Linked DNA regions of Danio rerio. The protein of the gene in region 3 interacts with the protein of the main gene of each other region in a pairwise test. Links are inferred from orthologs where the notes say so. Each region holds a gene or a part of one and is shown on either strand. Other genes may lie near its edges. The genes, in order: syt6b, nup35 and kctd9a.

Region 1 (3,658 bases), on a different chromosome or scaffold from region 3:
CTAGCTGCTGGTCTCATTAATACCTCATCCAGCAGCAACCTAGCTTTCCCATGTGGGATCCCATGCAGATACTGACTGAGCACATCCCTGCTTAGCTTCAGTGAAGTGTTGCAGAGCACTCGAACAACGCTGATTGACCTCCCCTTTATTAATAAAGGTTATCTTTTGGCATTGATGATTCCAGGAAGATTGTTTAACATCCTTAGCACCTTTTTATCAATCAAACAAACAAACAAACAAAAAAAGGACAAAAGTCTCTTTATAGTGGAAAAACATGCTTAAGATTAAATGTACTTTAGGCTATGATAAAACTTTTATTTTCAAGAATTATTTTTCTAAAAGATCCTTTATGAAACCATCAAAGGTTCCTCTATGGCATCACTATAAAGAAAAACATTTTAGGTTCTTCTTTTAAGATTGTAAAGTGTCTAAATTAGAACCTAAAAAGAACAAATGTGTACCTTATGAAAAGATACCCCCCAGCAACAACCTTTATACCTTTATTTCTGAGAGTTTATTGTGTTTTTTCCACTGTCTGACCTTCTTTGTAGTCAATAAGTCCCAGAGACGAACTTCGGGTCTAATTGTGTCTGACATTTACGAGATTTCCAAAGTATTAACATGATTAGGAATGACTGGAGCTAACCTCATAATGGCTTTGTAAATACAGTAAACTGCAATGACCTATAAGAAGGTCTTGAGACAAGCATTTCTTCATTCTTCCAGAACACTGACCTGTTGGAGGAGGCCGGCTCGGTTGTTTGCCGTGAGATACGCGTCCGTCTCAGAAGATGATCCTTCATGGACAGCTGCACGTCTGCGGGGATATCTGGCGACGTATGACTAATCTTCACTGCCGCCTCCAGAAAGTTCCCAGGATCCTTCAGCTTGTCTGCTGCCATAATGTCTCTGAGGGCCGGGTAGTAGTCACCGTGACCTTCTTCTCTGGGTTGTTCTCTCTCTGGCTGGGTGGGAGCAAGGGCGGTGGCGCTAGAGGAAAGCACTTTGCTGCGCCAGGACACCCAGCACAGCTTCCAGGTGGCGACGCTGATGACACCCAGCAGGGCCAAACCGCACACCACAAATACAAGCAGCAGGAGACTGAAGGAAATGTCTGGACAGAAGATACAACATGAACAGAGGTGGACATTGGAAAAGGAAAAGCACACACAACAAACTAAAGGACTTTAGACAGGTTTCAATCAGTGTTTCAGCTATAAAGTGGGTTCAAATAACTGTAGAGTGTGTTAATCTAAGTACTGTGACCTAAAGATATAATATACAAACTGATAAAGACATGTTCTAGAAAGCTAAAAAAAAAAATTGTAGTTGCTTGTAGTATAGCTACATTTCCACTGCATGACATTTGGACACAGCTGTCGGAATACGCCCCCTTGTGGCAGCTGCACAGAAATGTCAGTTTTGTCGTACACTATGGGTGGGAAGCTGATTCTTAACCTAGTGATTAGCACTGTTGCCTCACAGCAAGAATGTCTTTGTTTAAAGTCCCTACTAAACCAGATGACATTCCTGTGTGGAGTTTTGCTCGTTTTTCCCATGCTCGCACAGGTTTTTCCCGGGTTCTCCAGGTTTCCTCCCAAAGTCCAAAAAACACGTAATGCAAAAGTATATTGAACACAAAATTGATACCATAGCCAAGCTCTTAGCGAGTACACCTCTCCTCAGTCATCCATATCCGTCATTTAGCTAGAAATAAGCCAAGGGGAGTTTATGGAGATCTACTTAAGCTCCGCTCTCGCCTTGCACAGGGGAGGGAGCCCAGGGTTTGCGGATCTCATAAGCTCAGGGCTCTCTCCCGGGTCAGCAAGCCAAACAAGCTTTATTATCAATCATCAGCTAAGTGTGAACTCTGAAAACTACCATTTCTCATCTTGTGCACATTGACCTGCTTGAAAAACACTGGAATAAATCACATCCGATCGGCCTCTAGTCGCAGGAGTTCAAATATTTTAACAATTCTGCAGCTCAAATCGGATATGAATTTTCTGCATACGGAGATGATCGGACCTCCGTGCAGCTTCTGGACTGCTCTCCATTGGAAAGAATGACTTCTGGTCTGTTACTGCGTCTGAAATCGCATACTTTCATACTATATAGAACACTAAAAATGCAAGCCAAGTAGTATGTCTGAATTTGAAAAATTCGAAAAACAGTATGCGAGAAGAACCTGGATGACCTTCTACTTCCTGTGAGATTCTGAAGTGTGCATCCAACGGATACTATGCTATACCATTATGCTTTGCGTAAGAATTTATGGATGGGAGTGAACTGATGCAGGTAGATCACATAATCATGACAAAATGGCAGATGTAGTACATCTGAGTTCCATTCATACTACAGATATTCATACTGTATAGAACAAACTTTTCTAATGGTCGAGTAGTAAATTCAAATTCAAATGCAATACCTACTGAGTAGTAGGCGATTTCGGACACAGCCTATGTAATTTTTGCAAATTCACTAAAATAATGACCAGCTGTGATTAATCATATCATGTGCTTCTCTGGAAATTAGTTTTTTGTGAAACTACACTAATACTATTAACCTGTGCCCCTTTGATATTTTCTGATGCCCTTAATCAGGCTTTTTGATTGAGAACCATTGTGTTACATAACTCTTTCTTAGTGTCAAGTCAGCAGAATTTGCTACAATGAAGAATAAATCACACAAAACCAGATGTTTAAGTTATCAAGGGCTAAAAGTATAAATGCATATCAATTTCAGTTTCACAGCACAAGTCTGATAGGATAAGTAACTGCGTGTCAACTCACTCAGAGCTCTTTCACCCTAATCCTGGACCAGCAGGCCATCCCTATTGTTGAGTCCTGCTATATAAAATCAGCAACAGCAAGCAGCTCTTTATAAACGTGAGGAGAAAAAGCTGCTTATATATGAAAGAGACCTCAGTGGTTTAGCCTCAGCAAAACCCGAGGCCAGTGTTCATCAGTTTACTAAAGTAGCATTTTTCAAGTTTCCTGTCTCTTCCGTTTGCCTGTGGTGAAGTTAATTAAAACAAATCATGCCATGAATGCTGCAGACATCTTGGTCAAGCACCACAGAGCACTCGCATAAATATTAATCATCACATGCTGAGAACACAACCTACAACATAGTTGTGGAAATGATCATTCAGTGTGATGCCCGGTCTGGTATGGCTCTTTCCCTTTTACTAGAGACAGCAATTGGTTCTTTTGCCTTTGAAATAGGTTTCTTAAAGCCATTTCAAGTGCGAATATCACAGGGTAATGAGCAAATCGTCAGACCGCCTAAACTTATCAACACCACTGAGTAGGCAGTATTAAGTGCACACAGCTTCCAGATGGAATTGCAAATGAGATAAATGTAATTACAGACTTCTTCATACAAGAAGAGCAGGTCATTGGTCAAACTCCAGCTCGACGGAAACAATTATATATCCGAGTGAATGAATAAAAATGTTGATCTATTTCTTTAAGATTATTACAAATGCGTTGGAGTGGGCTCTCAGGGCTGGAGCACTTGGCTGCCAACCAAGAAAACAAACAGGTGCTGCATCGATGTACATTCTCATTTCAATCACACTCTCACAGTCGTTCGCTTCTCCAACTGGGGCAATGTGGGAACACATAAACAACTTGACAAAATAATTAATGTGCCA
Region 2 (4,120 bases), on a different chromosome or scaffold from region 3:
TGAATATTTCAGCAAGAGGAGGAGGATGTCAATATTTTACTACTCCAGAGGATCCAGGACAACAATGCAACCTTGTGAAACAACAGTGCCACCTGCAGATTAGTTTGTGTAAGAACATTCTACTAACGCATGCAAGTATACAAATTTGAGATCTACCTTCCTTGTACAGCTATTTAATATTAGATATACCATAACAATGGATGACATCAAGTACAATATAAACAAGAAAAATGATATAAGAATATCTAAAATATGCTAAAATAAGATAATAAATAACAGGGTACAGAGGCAAAACTCATTAATTCATTTTCTTGTCGGCTTAGTCCCTTTATTAATCCGGGGTCGCCACGACGGAATGAACCGCCAACTTATCCAGCAAGTTTTTACGCAGCGGATGCCCTTCCAGCCGCAAGCCATTGGAAACATCCACACACACTCATACACTGCGGACAATTTAGCCTACCCAATTCACCTGTACCACATGTCTTTGGACTGTGGGGAAAACCGGAGTACCCGGAGGAAACCCACACGAAGGCAGGGAGAACATGCAAACTCTACACAGAAACACCAACTGAGCCGAGGTTCGAACCAGCGACCTTCTTGCTGGGAGGCGACAACACTACCTACTGTGCCACTGAGAGGCAAAACTATCAATATTAATAATATTTACAAAGTCTTTTGAAGTTTTCACAGTTCTTACACTGTTTTTGCTGTAAACATTTTGTTGTAGTTGTAGTTAAACAATTAAAGTCACAAAGAAAATTCTGCAAATTAGGTAATGATGAAGAAAATGCAAATTTGTGAGTATAATATTTACCCAGTAAATAAATAATAAAATTGCCTATAAATTCTGTTATGTTTGTTATGAGAAAAGTAACTAAATCACATATGGAAAAAATTAATGTTGAATTTACATTTTGATGTAAAAAGACGGATAAATCAGACAAAACCCTTTAACATGTGGCCATTTGATAAAAAAATAAAATTATCGATTTGATGCTTGAGTTACAGAAGACACAATTTGATTTAGGATTACCAAATGTAGACGCAATCTTGTTACTGGGGATAAATAAAAATTCGTTTGACATCCTTCCCTGTAGAGGCGCGACAGAGGCGCCCGGAAGTGCCTCTCGCTGGTGTCATTAGAGCACGCGCAACTTCCGTCTGGTTCAAAAAATTCTGCACTCTCCGGTATTCGGTAAAGCAGATCTAATCTTCTGTTCGTTTACTGCCTGTTAGTCATCCAGTATGGAGATACAGAGTTGTAAGTATTCGTGCTTTTCACAATTTTTGAGTTTGTAGGTTTTGAAGTGTTTGTATGTCGATGAATTTGTGGAAACGGGCGTCCCCGTGGCTTAGCTAATGTCAGCACACTGCAGAAAGACGCGTGTTTTATTCCCCTTAATAACTTTATTAAACTATTTCTGTATGTGGGTGTTTTTATTTGCTGTGACGTGACAGCCAAATCAAGTGCCTGCCAAATAGGGTCTGTTTTTATGTGCTTCGTTGTCCATATCAAATTGGTGTTATCGTTAAAGGGAGAGTTCACGCAAAGAGAAAAATTGTCATTTATTTAGTTTTCTTGTTCAACTTTCTTTGTTCATGGTGTCCGCGGGGTTTTTAAAAAAATATAAAAAATGATAAATATATTTAGATAAATTTAAGACTCTTTTAAAGCATTAACAAGTCTTTTGCTATTTTACAAGGAATTCACTTTTGTATCAGTATGCTAAAGCTTGCCCGAGTCTAATCTTGGAATATTGGGATGCTGTGTAGTTTATGAAATCAAACAAATCCTGCTAAATTTGACATCACGCTGCTTTGTTTACTGCAGTAAACCTGATAAACACTTATTCCTGCTGCTGTAAAGGCTAGATTAATATTTTTATCTAGTTTATAAATACAGTTAAGGATTAGTTTCTTGCAATCAGTATTTATAGTCAGTAAATATATTGCAAATTAAAATGTTAGCAATGTTACTCGTTGAAACATGAAGTGGTAATGAGGTATGCAAAGAGTCTTAAAAAGGTCTTAAAAGGTTTTGAATTTCAATCTCTGTATATACCATGTTGTGTTGAATGCAAAGCCAGATATTTTGAGGGACTACTTTTTTCTTCTTTATGGATGTGTATTGTGTTTGGCTACCGCCTTCCAAAATTCTTCAAATTAGTTTTTGTAAAACAGAAAAAAAGTAAATCACTAAATGAGATAAAAGTCAGTTTGGTTTTATATTTGCACACAGACTTTGATAATTTATATATATATTTTTAATATAACTTAATTTCAGAAGTATACTTTGCAAATTCTTAATAGGGTAATCATATAAGCAGCTTATGACTATCAAAGTGCAAAATTAAATAATGCTAATGACCAAATATTTAAAGTAGCATGTCAAAGTGTCACTGTTCAAAAATGAGCGAATGTGTGAATATAAACAGGGTTCATACAGTCATGGAAAAGTCATGGAATTTGTACATTTTATGTTTAAATATTTTCCAGGCCTGAAAAGGTTTTGGAAGAACAAAAAAATCCACAAAACTAGACTGTCTAAAACTAGAAACTAGAAAACTAGAAACTAGAACTCCAGGAATGTTATAGGCTTTAATTTTAAAAAGCATTAAACACTGTAAACCTTTCAAATGTCTCATAACAGGTATTGAACCAATGACGCTCGGCTCTCCAACCTCTCCTAAGCCTGGGGCTCAGTTTTTACCGGGGTTTCTAATGGGAGACCTGCCTGCTCCTGTCACTCCCCAGCCCAGGTCTTTTGGTTTGACAGGTGGAGCAGAAATCAGGTCTCCTCTTCTTGCTGGTAAATGCATATAACAATGCTTGTTATTGGTTACAGTGCTTTGTTGATACCTTAATTATGGTTATTTTTATACTTATAAGCAAAGTTGCTTTCTTACAGATTTAATGTTCTTTTTTTCCATCAGGTGGGTCTCCTCCACAGCCTGTAGTCCCAACACCTAAAGATAAGAGCGGAGCCCCTCCAGTCAGAAGCATCTATGATGACCTCAATGGCTCTGCTGTGGGAATGTCACCACTTGCTGCTCGCAAACAAGTGAGAAGTGCTAACAAATATGAAAACTTTAGTTATTACTATTATTTTGGTTTGTGTAATTATGCAGTCGTGGATGAAGAACAAAAATAAATACTTAAGTGCGGTAAACATAAAGTATTATTGCAAGCATAGTGTTATGTACCATGTATTTAGTTTTTGTTTTTGACTTATGAATTAAAAAAAAAAAATGATAGTTTACCCAAAAATTAATTACACCATCCATTAATCATTTCCACAGGTTCCATACCTGTTTGAGTTTCTTCTGTTGAACACAAAGGAGGATATACTGAAGAAGGTTGGCAAAAAAGCCATTGAATTCCATAATATTTTTTGTTCTGACTATGGCTGTCAGTGGCTGCTTTTTCCAGCATTCTTCAGAATATCTTGCTTTGAGTTCAACTGAAGAAAAAAATGCAACAAAAATTTAAAACCACTTGAGTGTGAGAATTTTTCTGTTTGTGCAGGCTGTCCCTTTAATGAATGCTTATTTTGCAAGAAAACATGTTATTTTATTGCTGATAATTACACTATTACTGATAATTCTAGTGTACAACACTATGCTAACATTCTAGGTCAATTTTTTGAATGACTTTTCCTACAACGTAAGGAGTCACATAACCACATACTGTTAAGGCAGATTTATTCTTATTATATTATGATGTATATTTGTTATGTTATTATGATATTATGCTTCTGCCAGGTGCACGGGTATGGTCTGGCGCAGGCTTCGCATACATATGCTCCTCTACACATCTCAACTGTTACAGCTACACGTTACTTTACAAAACTTGTCACAAAACCTATCGCTATATGTAACTTGCCAACTATGAGGGCAAAAACATAAAATAAATAAAATAATAATAACACAATAATAATGTATTAATAATATATATATATATATATATATATATATATATATATATATATATATATATATATATATATATATATATATATATATATATATCATTAATCGGAATCGAGTTAAAATGTTAAATTAATCAAGATTTAGATTTTAGGCCACTGTAGCACATGTTTTTTTCTTAAACTTGCTGT
Region 3 (3,658 bases):
GATCATTTAACAAACTGAGAGATGAAAAAGAAGGAGATTTGTCCCAGAGCAAGAGATAAAGGGCTCACATCCAGGTTGGCTCCCGACAGGTCGGCTCTCTCTAGGTTTGAGCAGCACAGGTTTGCATAGGTGAGATTGCAGCGACTCAGATTAGCCATCTTAAAATTAATATAGCGCAAATCCAGCCGAGAGAGATCCGCTCCACTGAAATTAAGACCCTGAGAGGGAAAGAGCAGAAAAAGGGGACCTATTATGCATAAATCGTTTTCATAAGACGTTTAAACACAGTTGTGTGGCAGCAGTGTGTGAATACAACCAGCTTCTAATGGTAAAAATGAATTAATTCTGTTTTTTATGATCACGCTTGATAAAAACAGTCTGCAGAAACACTTCTCTCTTTGAACGTGTCATCAGTAAGAGAAAGCCCCGCCCATTAGGGACCATCTCTCCCTCATTAGCATAGGAGATTAGTCTTGTTTTTGAATCTGCCACTATGTTGACACACAGGCATTTGTAGCTCCGCCCTCTTTTAAAAAGAGCACAGTCTCATTTAAATTTAAAGTGACAGTCACCAAATAGGCATGGTTAGAATAAAAGCCGAAAAGGGTCATGTTCAAAGAGTTTTAAAACATTATTTGTGGGGTATTTTGATCTGAAATGTCACATGCAGACTCTTATGACACTTATTTTACACCTTGTAAAAAGGGCTTAATAGGACCCCTTTAACACCAAAAGAACATGACATTAAATATGACTTTTTATACATTCATATGATGTCTTCTACCTGACAGCGTAGCTCTGATTTGGTTGGAGTAGCCAACAGAAACCGAACAAACTCCTTCCGTGAGAGCGGAGAGTGGTCTTCAGGTGGATGGGAATTCTTTAGCAAATCAGAAGAGTCAAAAATACACAATTAATGCACAATTATATGCATACAATATTGATAATTTTTCGGATTTAGCAAAAAAAAAAAGTTTTTATTTTCAAAAGGATTTACCATACAAAGCCATGACAACAAATGTTTTATGTTGCATTAATTTGAATCAGTTAATCAAGTTTAAAATAAAATGTTTTCAAATATATAAACAAAAAGTTTAGTGACACAATGGCTCAGTGGTTAGCACTAGGGATATAACGATTTATCGTTGTACGATTTATTGCGATGCAAAAATATCACAATATGCATCGTGGCGTTATGAAGATTTGATTACGATATGACGTCTGTTTTCTCTTATTAGTTGAGCTGTTTGCAAGTGAGCTACGTTCCACCTGCTGTCGCACGTGAGTTCAGATTGCAGCAGCAGTAATGTTAGCAGACCAAGATGAGTGGAGCTGAAATAGAGGATGGCCCATCCTCTCAAAATCAGACGTCTGGCAACATTTCGGTTGACCAGTCATTGCTTTAGACTCGTCCGCTTTTTGACACGCATACTGGGTCAAACATCCTAAGTTTTAAAGTCTTCACAGTGAATTACATACTTTGCACAGCGACAGGGATACCTCCTAATGGTGTTGAAAGAGTCACATACTGTATTTATAAGGTACAATTCACCCTAAAATATCATTCTGTCTTCATATAATGTTCCCGCCGCAAAATCACACATGACGTGAGCTGACTGTGAGCTGCTGACTGTGAGCTGTTACTACAGAGGGCGGACTTTGATAGACGCGCACGTATGGCAAGCCGTTTTAGCATTTAAACCTTTGTTCTGACTATCCATAAATATATTTAGAGATATCTCTAATTATATTTTGACTAGTCATAATTATAATTCGACTAGTCAGAATGACAATTAGAGATATCTGCAATTACAATTGTACTAGTACGAAATCAGATTGGAGATATCTGCAAATATATTATGACTAGTCATATTCCTCCATTGACTTCCATTGAAAAATATTTGCAGATATCTCTAAATGAGTTTTGATTAGTCAAAATTGTAATTAGAGATATCTCTAAATTAATTTAATTAAATATGAATTAAATACCTGGAAATGTGGATTTTTTTTGCACACACAAAAAACACAAGTGACCAAGCAAAGCCTTAAGCTCTTACTGTTAAATTCAATTGAATAGAAAGTTTATTTTTTTTTGCACCTTTACTTAAATTGTTCCTTAATTTTGTCTCTGTCATTTCAATAATATTTTTAAGAAGTTTTTAAATTGTTTTATTTTCCAGAGACAGGCCTGTTTAATTTATTTTCTTAAAGAAGGTTCAGTTTAACAAGTTGAAACAAAAGTAATACATAAAAAATAGTTTACTTGGTAAAATTTGCATTTCAGTTTAATTTTAAATTTTTATTCCAAATATCGTGATACATATCGAATCGTGAACATTATATCGTGATACACATCGTATCGTGAGCTAAGTGTATTATTACACCCCTAGTTAGCACTGTTGCCTCAAAGCAAGAAGCTTCCTGGTTCGTGTCCTGGCTAGGTCAGATGGTATTTCTGTGTGGAGTATGCATGTTCTCCCCGTGTTCGCATTGGTTTTCTACGGGTGCTCCGATGTCCCCTAAAGACATGTAATGTAAGTGAATTGGGTAAACAAAATTGGCCATATTGTATGTTGAGTGTGTGTGTGTGTGAACGTGAGAGTGTATAGGCGTTTCCTAGTACTGGGAAAGCCACGCATGATGCGCATGGGGTGTAAAGTGCAGTGTGCTTAAATACCTTGATGGCGACTTCCAGCTGTTCTGCCAGTTGCTCTATTCCAAAAAATCTAGCTTCTTCCAGTACACCTATAAAGCATTAATAAAATGATCACATTTGAAGATTGTCGTTTTCATCTCATCTTATGCCTCTCTTAAAAAATTGGGTGATACTTTATAAAGGTACAATTCTCTAAATTATTACATCATTATTAACTATGACTTTTGCCTCAATAACTCCCAATTTGCCGCATATTATTAGATATTGAGGAGGTAGTTAGGTTTGCAGTAGGTAGGATTAGGGATGTAGACTAAGATCATGCAGAATATGCATTTTATAAAGTAGTTTTAAACAGCTAATATCTCAATAAAGCGCAGGTAATAAACTACTAGTTAATAGTGAGAATATGCTGCTTAAACTAAAGTGTTACCAAAGCTTGTATGTTAAATGGATCCATGTTCAGTAAAACTTAATAAAGAAAAAATAGCTAGTAGTGTACAGTGTTGTATGCAATTAAAAAATAATTAGTTATTGAACAGTGGAGTCGTTATCACATTTGGCCTTACTTTTTATAAACATGGCTTTGAATTAGTGATTGACTCAGGTTAAAAATATTGCAATAATCTACATACCAGGCTAACTGCTTATATTAGGCCCAGGTGGGATCCGTTTATTTACTTAATGTGTAATAAATATATACATGTGTGTAAATATATATATTTGTTCAGTTTTTTCTATTAATTTCAGTACTATTATTGAATAATATGCAGATGTTTAGGTGATTTAACAGTTTGTAAAGTGTAATTTTCTGTCTATTAGTAGATATATATATATATATATATATATATATATATATATATATATATATATATATATATATATATATATATATATATATATATATATGCAGTGCTTAATTTATGAATTGCGAAGTCCTGGAACAGATTGGGCTAACGGATTCGACATGCTACCCAAGGATGGAGAGGTGTCACTCATGAAAGT

The links.
Region 1: the proteins of kctd9a (region 3) and syt6b interact in binary tests that used the Homo sapiens proteins (3 or more experiments, as listed by UniProt). The two-hybrid records come from large-scale screens. The link is inferred for Danio rerio from reciprocal best matches to the Homo sapiens genes KCTD9 and SYT6.
Region 2: the proteins of kctd9a (region 3) and nup35 interact in binary tests that used the Homo sapiens proteins (3 or more experiments, as listed by UniProt). The two-hybrid records come from large-scale screens. The link is inferred for Danio rerio from reciprocal best matches to the Homo sapiens genes KCTD9 and NUP35.

Annotation. Positions count from the first base shown.
Region 1 is NC_133186.1:26,742,914-26,746,571, reverse strand, and holds part of syt6b (synaptotagmin-6), read right to left. Parts: intron 1,115-3,658; coding exon 736-1,114; intron 1-735.
Region 2 is NC_133184.1:12,405,336-12,409,455, reverse strand, and holds the start of nup35 (nucleoporin NUP35), read left to right. Parts: upstream 1-1,204; 5' UTR 1,205-1,248; coding exon 1,249-1,264; intron 1,265-2,653; coding exon 2,654-2,812; intron 2,813-2,936; coding exon 2,937-3,064; intron 3,065-4,120. UniProt on the Homo sapiens protein: Functions as a component of the nuclear pore complex (NPC).
Region 3 is NC_133183.1:61,417,541-61,421,198, forward strand, and holds part of kctd9a (BTB/POZ domain-containing protein KCTD9a), read right to left. Parts: intron 2,746-3,658; coding exon 2,678-2,745; intron 881-2,677; coding exon 785-880; intron 219-784; coding exon 69-218; intron 1-68. UniProt on the Homo sapiens protein: Substrate-specific adapter of a BCR (BTB-CUL3-RBX1) E3 ubiquitin-protein ligase complex, which mediates the ubiquitination of target proteins, leading to their degradation by the proteasome.